2 linked regions of the Danio rerio genome follow. The main gene of each other region encodes a partner of the protein of the gene in region 2 in a complex. Links are inferred from orthologs where the notes say so. Each region holds a gene or a part of one and is shown on either strand. Other genes may lie near its edges.

Evidence for each region.
Region 1: lamtor1 (region 2) and lamtor4 share a complex: the UniProt entries of both Homo sapiens proteins name them as parts of the ragulator complex. The link is inferred for Danio rerio from reciprocal best matches to the Homo sapiens genes LAMTOR1 and LAMTOR4.

Annotation. Positions count from the first base shown.
Region 1 is NC_133179.1:20,644,496-20,648,988, reverse strand, and holds the start of lamtor4 (ragulator complex protein LAMTOR4), read right to left. Parts: upstream 3,068-4,493; 5' UTR 3,008-3,067; coding exon 3,005-3,007; intron 2,855-3,004; coding exon of another isoform or gene 2,819-2,854; coding exon 2,738-2,818; intron 1,394-2,737; coding exon 1,276-1,393; intron 679-1,275; coding exon 581-678; 3' UTR 1-580. Other genes in the region: atp6v1f (V-type proton ATPase subunit F), read left to right, coding at 3,471-3,628. UniProt on the Homo sapiens protein: As part of the Ragulator complex it is involved in amino acid sensing and activation of mTORC1, a signaling complex promoting cell growth in response to growth factors, energy levels, and amino acids.
Region 2 is NC_133190.1:46,802,450-46,807,028, reverse strand, and holds the start of lamtor1 (ragulator complex protein LAMTOR1), read left to right. Parts: upstream 1-1,493; 5' UTR 1,494-1,676; coding exon 1,677-1,718; intron 1,719-4,273; coding exon 4,274-4,419; intron 4,420-4,579. UniProt on the Homo sapiens protein: Key component of the Ragulator complex, a multiprotein complex involved in amino acid sensing and activation of mTORC1, a signaling complex promoting cell growth in response to growth factors, energy levels, and amino acids.

The sequences.
Region 1 (4,493 bases), on a different chromosome or scaffold from region 2:
TCAAAGACGTGCACCTGCAAAAAGCATTCAGTGCACTCTCTTTCACTACAAGCTCTCACACTTTACATTAAAAATGAAACATGAAATCCATAATGAAAGTTGCAATTATAACACCATAATTATATATTGATGGAAAGAAACTGCTTCCTTGGCTAATACATCATTTCTGCATAAAATATGATGCAATGAATCCTTTAATCTATAGCTTAATGGATTATTGGAGTTAAATGTTAATGCAAATCTATAATGATGTCCAGCAATACTATAATTGTGACCACTCAAGTATGAAAGGGACTAAAATATAAAAACAATTTAATCCTGTATCCAAAAAAAAGAAATCAGATGAACCATGTAACATCATAATCTAATAAGAGAAACACATGAACTTACTTTGGCTCAGGTCAAATACACCTGACATCACCAAAAGGCCCCCAAAACATTGCAAAATTTCACCTTAAGAAAGAAAGAGAGTGTGATTGTGCTAAACATCGGGTGGTTGTAAAGACGGGGTCATTTTTATGTGAGGGCACCATTTTGAGCTTGTAATAGTGGGAAAGATCAGTCCATATTATCCTCTTTACTACACGATAACAGGCTCCCGCTGGTTGTTCTGCCTTTTCACTACGAAAACCTTCTGTCCGGAGATGGTCACAGCATAGACGTAGTCTTCAAACATCACTGACATCAGACAAAAAAGGAAAGAAAAAAATATACATTAATATCAGTATTTGTTTGGAAGTTATGGATTTTCACAGCAAGTAAAAATGATTTACTGTAAAATAGTAAATGATCATATATCAATTATTTCTTATTGAATAAATTTAATTAAAACAACAAATTAAAGAGGGTTATTTTATTTTATTAGGGCTATTTTGTTCCTAAACAAAATCAAGAGGATAAAAAAAGACTTAAAATGGTTACACATGAAACCATAAAAACTAATAAAACCTTTTTTTTTTTAAACAGACCTATTTAAAAACACAACTGATAGAAATACATAACAAAATTGCTTAAACTTTAAATAGAAAAAACACAAAATGTAAAGATAAAAACTATTTCAAACTGTAAAAATATCTGGATAATACTTAAACCTAATGTTACAAATAAACACTAATACTACAGTGATATCTGAATATTACATAAACCTGATGTTACACAAGCATGTTTACTTTAATAATTCACATCACATTTTTTGAAAATTAAATGACAAAATATGAGTGAAATATTGTTCTATCATCATTCAGCATTTATCTAAAAATGAAGTGCGTTTCTTACCAGACATGCGCTTGAATGGGGGCTCTGCAGTCCCATGTAATCTGAAGCGACAAGCTGTTCGGACCATCTGCATGATCACTCCTGCTGTGTGCTCGTCATTCTCCAGCTCTCCTGCCGACTGTAGATTACAAAAAACATTCACTTACTGCTTAACTGAGACAAGTGGAGTCATTATTAATCCCCCTATGATATTTTCTTTTTTAAATATTTCCCAAATTATGTTTAATAGAGCAAGGACATTTTCACATTATTTCATATAATATTGTTTCCTCTGGAGAAAGTCTTATTTGTTTTATTTTGGCCAGAATAAAAGCAGCTTTTCATACCATTTTAACTCAATTATTATTACCCCCCCCCCCCCAAGCAATATATTTTTTTAACTTGTCTACAGAACAAATTATTGTTAATTAAATTACTAATTAAACTAAGTATCTTCCTTAACCTAATTAACCCAATTAAGCCTTTAAATTGAACTTGAAGCTGAATACTATTATCCTGAAAAATATGTAGTAAAATAGTATGTACTGTCATCATGGCGAAGATAAAAGAAATTCATTAGTTATTCAATCTATTATGTTTAGAAAAGTGTTGAAAAAAAATCTCTCTGTAAAACAGAAATTGGGGAAAAATATAAAAGATTTAAAATTAAACAGCAAGGCTAATAATTCTGACTCAACTGTAAATGATAAATTGATTATATGATTAAAACATAGAACCTATCGAATATATAGAAAGAGACAGAGAGAGAGATAACCCCTTGAGCCAGGTGTGTCCAACAGACAGACAGACAGACAGACAGACAGATAGATAGATACAGTTAAAGGCACAATTATTGGCAATAAATAAATATTTTCCTTTTTTAATTTATTTTCATGAAGGCTGTTCAAAAGGAAGAAGATTTCTCAACACATTTTTAAAAATAATAGTTGTAATATATATATTTTTTAACAGAATCTGTCTTTGCCATGATAACACTGCATAATATTTTGCTAGTTATTTTACAAGATATTAGAATTCATCTTAATGAGTAACTTAAAGGCTTAACTTGGTTAATAAGTTTAACTAGGCAAGTCATTGAATACCATTATTTTGTTCTAAGGGCCTATTAACCTATTAAAATTGTTATTTTTTTATTTAAAAACTGCTTTTATTCCAGACAAAATAAAAGAAATAAAAAATTTTCTCAAGAATAAAAATATTATAGAAAATACTGTGAAAATGTCATTGCTCAGTTCATCATAACTTGGGAATTTTTTTTTAAATAATATGTATCAGTAGAGGCGTAATAATTTTGCCTCAAAGTGTAGACAGGCAAACAGAGACAGACAGAACAATAAGACTGACAGACATTGAATTCTAATTAATTATTTCTCATTTGCCCAAATCAGGATTCTCTTTTCAACGCATTTCACCCTCATGTCAAGTTCTCCGAAAATGTAAGTTATGAATTTTAACAGCTTACCGCGAGTACTCCGTCTTCACTAATAACCAAGTACCCAAGTTGATCGGGTATTCTCTCCAAGCCTTGAGTCAAAGCAGTAGTCTGACATTCAACACACGATAATACTGTAATTAAACACTAACAGAGCTCATATGATATTAGACTGCATCATCAATCACATTATTTACAAAATCTTTGTTTTATAAGTTCTAAATGCACTAAAACAAAACATTTAATAAAAAAAACATTTAATTAAACAAATATTTTAAAGGTAAGAATTATATTTACCATTTTAGACAGTGCAGATAAATGTACACTGCTGTTTTCCTTCACACCCCGCCTCACGTGACTGACATCAAGCGTCGCGTGTTTATAACGTCATTCCAGGAGATGTTTTGCTTATTCGACATTATTTTTGTTTATATGCATTGGAAACGTACAAAATGTGATAAAAAATCTTAGTATGACTAAAACGTGGCGGATTTTTATTTAATTTGCTAGGATTTATGCGCTGTTCTCGCATTTAACAAAAAATAATCTGTATCAGGATCAGATTCGCTGTCATAATCACCGCACACAGGTCGGTCGTTAACGCGAGCAGCACAGATCTCAGATCAGCTAAATAAGGCGCTTACGCGACTACGCAAAGCGGAAGTGAAGTGGTCAGCTGATTAAAGCATATGATCCTGCTGAACGGAAAACATTTCGTCCATTCTGCGTCTTTTATTTGAGCAAAATATAAGACAAAGTCACGATGCCCGGACGAGGAAAATTAATCGCAGTTATCGGTGATGAAGACACGTGCACCGGATTTCTCCTCGGAGGGATCGGAGAGCTCAATAAAAACCGTAAACCCAATTTCTTGGTGGTGGAGAAGGAAACCAGCGTTACAGAGATAGAGGAGACCTTCAAGTAAGTGACACGATCCTAAATGTCTGAATGACTCAACATCATATATTACAATCTAATTATCAAATATGTGTCATTACAAATATATGGATGAAGACTTGCTTTTTAAAAAAATATTTATGTTTATCTATCTATCTATCTATCTATCTATCTATCTATCTATCTATCTATCTATCTATCTATCTATCTATCTATCATATCAGCCAAATATTTTAGAAAAAACATTTATATATAAATTATTTTTATGTAGTAATAATTACCTAAATTTGTCAAGAAACCCACTTAAATGTCTTTTAGTTTAACAATATTTTATATACACCAGTAAACTGTCAATCATATTTGCAAGAAACTATTAAAGACATATCAAACTATTAATATTATGAATTACAGTGCAGCCCCTATTGACAATTGTCATTTAAATATCCTTTGTCACTATTCTTCAAACTACTGATCAATTTTGAATAATTTAAATATAAGAACATGTTTGTCTGATCTCTTCTTATTCTGACGATAGATCATTTTGAGGAATGTAAACAAAAACAAATGTTCCAACGTATTTTCTGTTTTACATTTTTAATTTTTATAGCTTACGAGAATCTAAAAAGAGCCTGCTTATTGATAAATAATGTTATGATAGCTTTTTTAGAATTAAGTTATTATTCAATTGTTTCTTTGATATCAAGCATAGGCCAATGTCATCACCACAATGAAATGGTCTATATGAATAAGTACAAGTCCAAGTCAATATGTAGTTTGGTATTTACATAAATATGCAATAATGTCTGATTTTGATTATAATTTCACCCATGCTTGCATTTAATTTTCAGAAGAGTTATTTGAAACATCAAAGTATGCGCTGTATATGCAT
Region 2 (4,579 bases):
AAATGTAAAAATGACATTGGCATCTCTTGCTCTTTCTGTGAAACCTCTTCTGAATCTGTTGCTCACTTGTTTCGGGAGTGTCCCTCTGTTAAATCTTTTTGGTCTAATGTAAACTCTCTAATTATCCAAAAGGTTTGTGGAGATTTTTCTTTAAGCTATAGACATATTATTTTGTGGTTTTATATTAAAGGAAAAGAATTCCTTAATTCAACTTTTTGCATAAACCACATTTTATTTATTGGAAAGTTTTTTATACACAAATGCAAATATACTCATTGTAAGCCTATTTTTTTTTTTTTTTTTAAACGAGAACTAGCTCTTTATTTAAAAAAAAACCCATCACAGACTCTCACAATAAGAAAGCTATTAAAACTTATAAAATATGTGCTTTATTTAATATCCTGCAATAATTTGTTTAATCTTTGTCATGTGCCCTTAATTATTATTATTATTTCTCTCTCTCTCTCTCTCTCTCTCTCTCTCTCTCTCTCTCTCTCTCTCTCTCTCGTTGTCTTTATTTTGATTTACCTATATTATATTTGTTCTAAATTTGTTACATTCCACTTTTTCAAAAAGTAATATTTCTATTGATTGTACCATACTTTCAGTTTTGTATCTGTATTTGTTGTAAAGTACTGTTATTATTGCAAAAAAAAAAAAAAAAAAAAAGCATGATGTTTCTTAAAGGTTTTTCATAAAGGTTTCCTAAAGGTTTTTCATACATATATATATATACATATATATACATATATATACATACATATATATACATACATATATACATTCCATATATACATACATACACACACTAGATATCGCATAGGGACCCTGAGCATGCGTCAATAGCGCCGCCACATTGGTACAGTGCTCCCAGTACAAATGTCATTCAACCGCACTAGTCAAGTCAGTGTTATTACGTGAAGATGCGGGACTTTAGCGAGCAAAACAGAAAACAAAGCACAAAGGCAGAACATTCCATAGGTAATAAAAAGTTTTTTCTGTTTTTGTATGTTCTGAACTTTTGTGCTAATCAGGTAACGTTATTGATGAAAACAGTGACTTACTGCATTCACCATAAGGCAAAGCAGCTCCAACTCGCTCCCGCTCCGTCAGTATGAGAAGTGAAAGCAGGAGAGGAGCTGTGTTTCAGGACATGATTAGATCAAATTTAACAGGGAGGGTGGATAGTACATTTCTGTACACACAAACACAAGCTTTTTGTCAGGAATGTGATGTAAAATTATAATTTTCGTAATTAGAAAAAAAAAATTACATACAACATCCAGGAAAACTCCCGATCATAGATATATGTGTATATCTCTGGCTTTGGATGGCCACAGTCCTCCACTGTACCTTGGTCCTGCATTCATTTCAAAGGAGCGCTACCCTGTAGCAAGATGGCGGCGCTATTGACGCATTCCGTCCAATAGACAACAATAGGCCAGGCGACATCTAATGTATATATCTATGAAGGTTTTTAACGGGTTTTTGGGGCGGAACTGACGTGCCAGTGTGGAGACGGAAGACACGTGACACGATTGGGAGTGCTGTCATGTGATGGTTTCTGCGTTTGCAGCAAATCTCTTCACAGCCAAGAGGCAAACACAACCTCAAAAACGCTCCTGAGACGAATAAAAAACCCAAATTCAGGATACTGAACCCGCTGGGCGGCCATCATGGGGTGCTGTTTCAGCAGCGACAGCGAGACGACGGATCCGGTAACTCAAAACACTAATAATGCAGCTTAATGTAGCGTCTGTAGTCCTGCAACAACATTTACTAACGACACACTTTCAATACAGTTGTGTGTTTGTGATTCAAGAACAGCTCAATACTGAGTGCTTGTCAAAACTACAACAAACTTAATCCACTAACGCTACTTTATTTATGTATATTTGATCATTAACGTGTGTTTGTAATGAACTGAAGCTGGTGTTTCGGTGGAGTTAGTCTTAAATTGGGAGTTTTGTGTTGGATGTGGGTCTAATGTGTCAGATCTGACATGTGCTAATGCTAATGTTTGGGGAAATGTAGTGTTAGGGTTTCCACAATGATGGAAAAGTTAAATATATTAGTGCATTTTAGGCCTGGGAGTTTTTATAACAGTTGTACGAAAATATGGGGAGTATTTATGATTTTATTGAGTGAAAAAGAAAAAAAATTAAGCCAATCGTGAAAAGGTTTATTAAATTAAAATGTGCAAATTTTGTTGGATTTACACTAAAAGTTAGTTTTATGCTGTCCAATGCTGAAAAATAACTTAAAATACCAATAATAATGCAGCTTAATGTAGTGTCTGTAGTCCTGCAACAACATTTACTTACGACACACTTTTAATACAGTTGTGTGTTTGTGATTCAAGAACAGCTCAATACTGAGTGTTTGTCAAAACTACAACAAACTTAATCCACTAACGCTACTTTATTTATGTATATTATATCATAAGCGTGTGTTTGTAATGAACTGAAGCTGGTGTTTCGGTGGAAATAGTCTTAAATTGAGAGTTTTGTGTTGGATTTGGATCTAATGTGTCAGATCTGACATGTGCTAATGCTAATGTTTGGGGAAATGTAGTGTTAGGGTTTCCACAATGATGGAATAGTTAAATATATTAGTGCAGTAATTCTCAAACTTTTTTCATCAAGTACCACCTCAGAAAAGATTGTTCCTCCAAGTACCACCATAATGACCGGTATTGAAATACAGTAGCGTAGTAGGCCCAGTAAAACAGCTGCAGCTCTGCACAGTTTAATAACGTGGTAAAATAACTACTACTATTAAGGATATTTATTATTATAAGCCACTTTAAACATTATAAATAGTAACATTAAGACTGTACTCTGCTTATATGTAAACAAACAAACAAAAAAATTAATGTTAACGTTTAAATTAATGTGCTTTTAAAGGTTTAATAAAAATGGTAGGTTACTGTCCTTAAATAGAAAAAAACTGCTGTACTTAAATGTAAAGTCCTATTTATCAAAACCTGGAAATGTTGCTTGGACCTCATAAATAGGCTATATGTCATCATATTCATATTCAAACCATTTTTGATAAATTTTGAAATATATGTTGCTTGTACGTGACATGTAGGATTCCTCTGCGTACCATTAGAAGGAAGCCTGCGTACCGCTAGTGGTACACGTACCACAGTTTGAGAACCACTGTATTAGTGGATTTTAGGCCTGGGAGTTTTTATAATAGTTGTACGAAAATATGAGGAGTATTTCTGATTTTAGTGAGCTAAAAAAAAAAAATTAATTAAGCCAATCGTGAAAAGGTTTTTAAATTAAAATGTGCAAATTTTGTTGGATTTACACTAAAAGTTAGTTTTATGCTGTCCAATGCTGAAAAATAACTTAAAATACCAATAATAATGCAGCTTAATGTAGCGTCTGTAGTTCTGCAACAACATTTACTTACGACACACTTTTAATACAGTTTAATGCAGTTATGATTTTAGTTGGTTTTAAATAATAAACTGAAGCCAAACGTGAAAATGTTTTAAATTAAAATGTCTAAATATTGTAGGGTTTGCACTAAAAGTTGGTGTTATGCTGTCCAGTACAGACAAATACCCAAAACACTAATAATGCAGCTTAATGTAGCGTCTGTAGTCCTGCAACAACATTTACTTACGACACATTTTTAATACAGTTGTGTGTTTATGATTCAAGAACAGCTCAATGCTGAGTGTTTGTCAAAACTGCGTCAAAATTATTCCAGTTACGCTACTTTTTTTATGTATATTTGATCATCAACGTGTGTTTTTTTAATGAACTAAAGCTGGTGTTTCTGTGGGATTTGTCGTAAATTGTGTTGGATTTGGATCTAATGTGTCAGATCTGACATGTCCTAATGTTAATGTTTGGGGATATGTAGTATTAAGGGTTTTCTCAATGATGGAAAAGTTGAATGTATTAGTGGATTTTCAGGTCTGGGAGTATTTATAACAGTTGTACGAAAGTATGAGGAGTATTTATGATTTATTTTTATATTGGGATATCGCCCACTCTTTTTTTCTATTTTTATTTAATTTAATTATTTTTCCTGGTCATTGCGCCTTTGCTGTGTACTGTGTAAATGCAGACAATCGGATACGAGTCCCTTTTAATTAATGATGTAAGCAGGTCATCAAAAAAATCAGATACAGTCACAAAATCGCAATTGACCATCAAGATCTGCAGCGTGAATGCAGCCTGTTAGCTTACATGAAAATAAAGTGGTCTTTCTGGGTGTTTGAACAGGATGTGTTGATGTTTTGGTCCTGCAGGATGGAGATGAGGTGAAGCCACTGATTCCTGACCCAAACCAAGAAAGAAAACCCACTAATGGCTCAGAGCGAAATGCAGACAATCTGCCGTCCAACCGCACAGACGAACAAGCCCTGCTCACGGTCATCCTGCAGCGGACGGCACTGTACGACACGCTGCTTTACTTTGACTACTTTTCTCTGGCTAACGAGTCCTCGATTATCCTTTAGTTTGGTCCCACTTTATATGGATTTCATTTCTTTAGATTACAACAAATGTTTCTTTGAATTTTAACTTGATTTTCTTTCAATTATTAGTCACTTTCT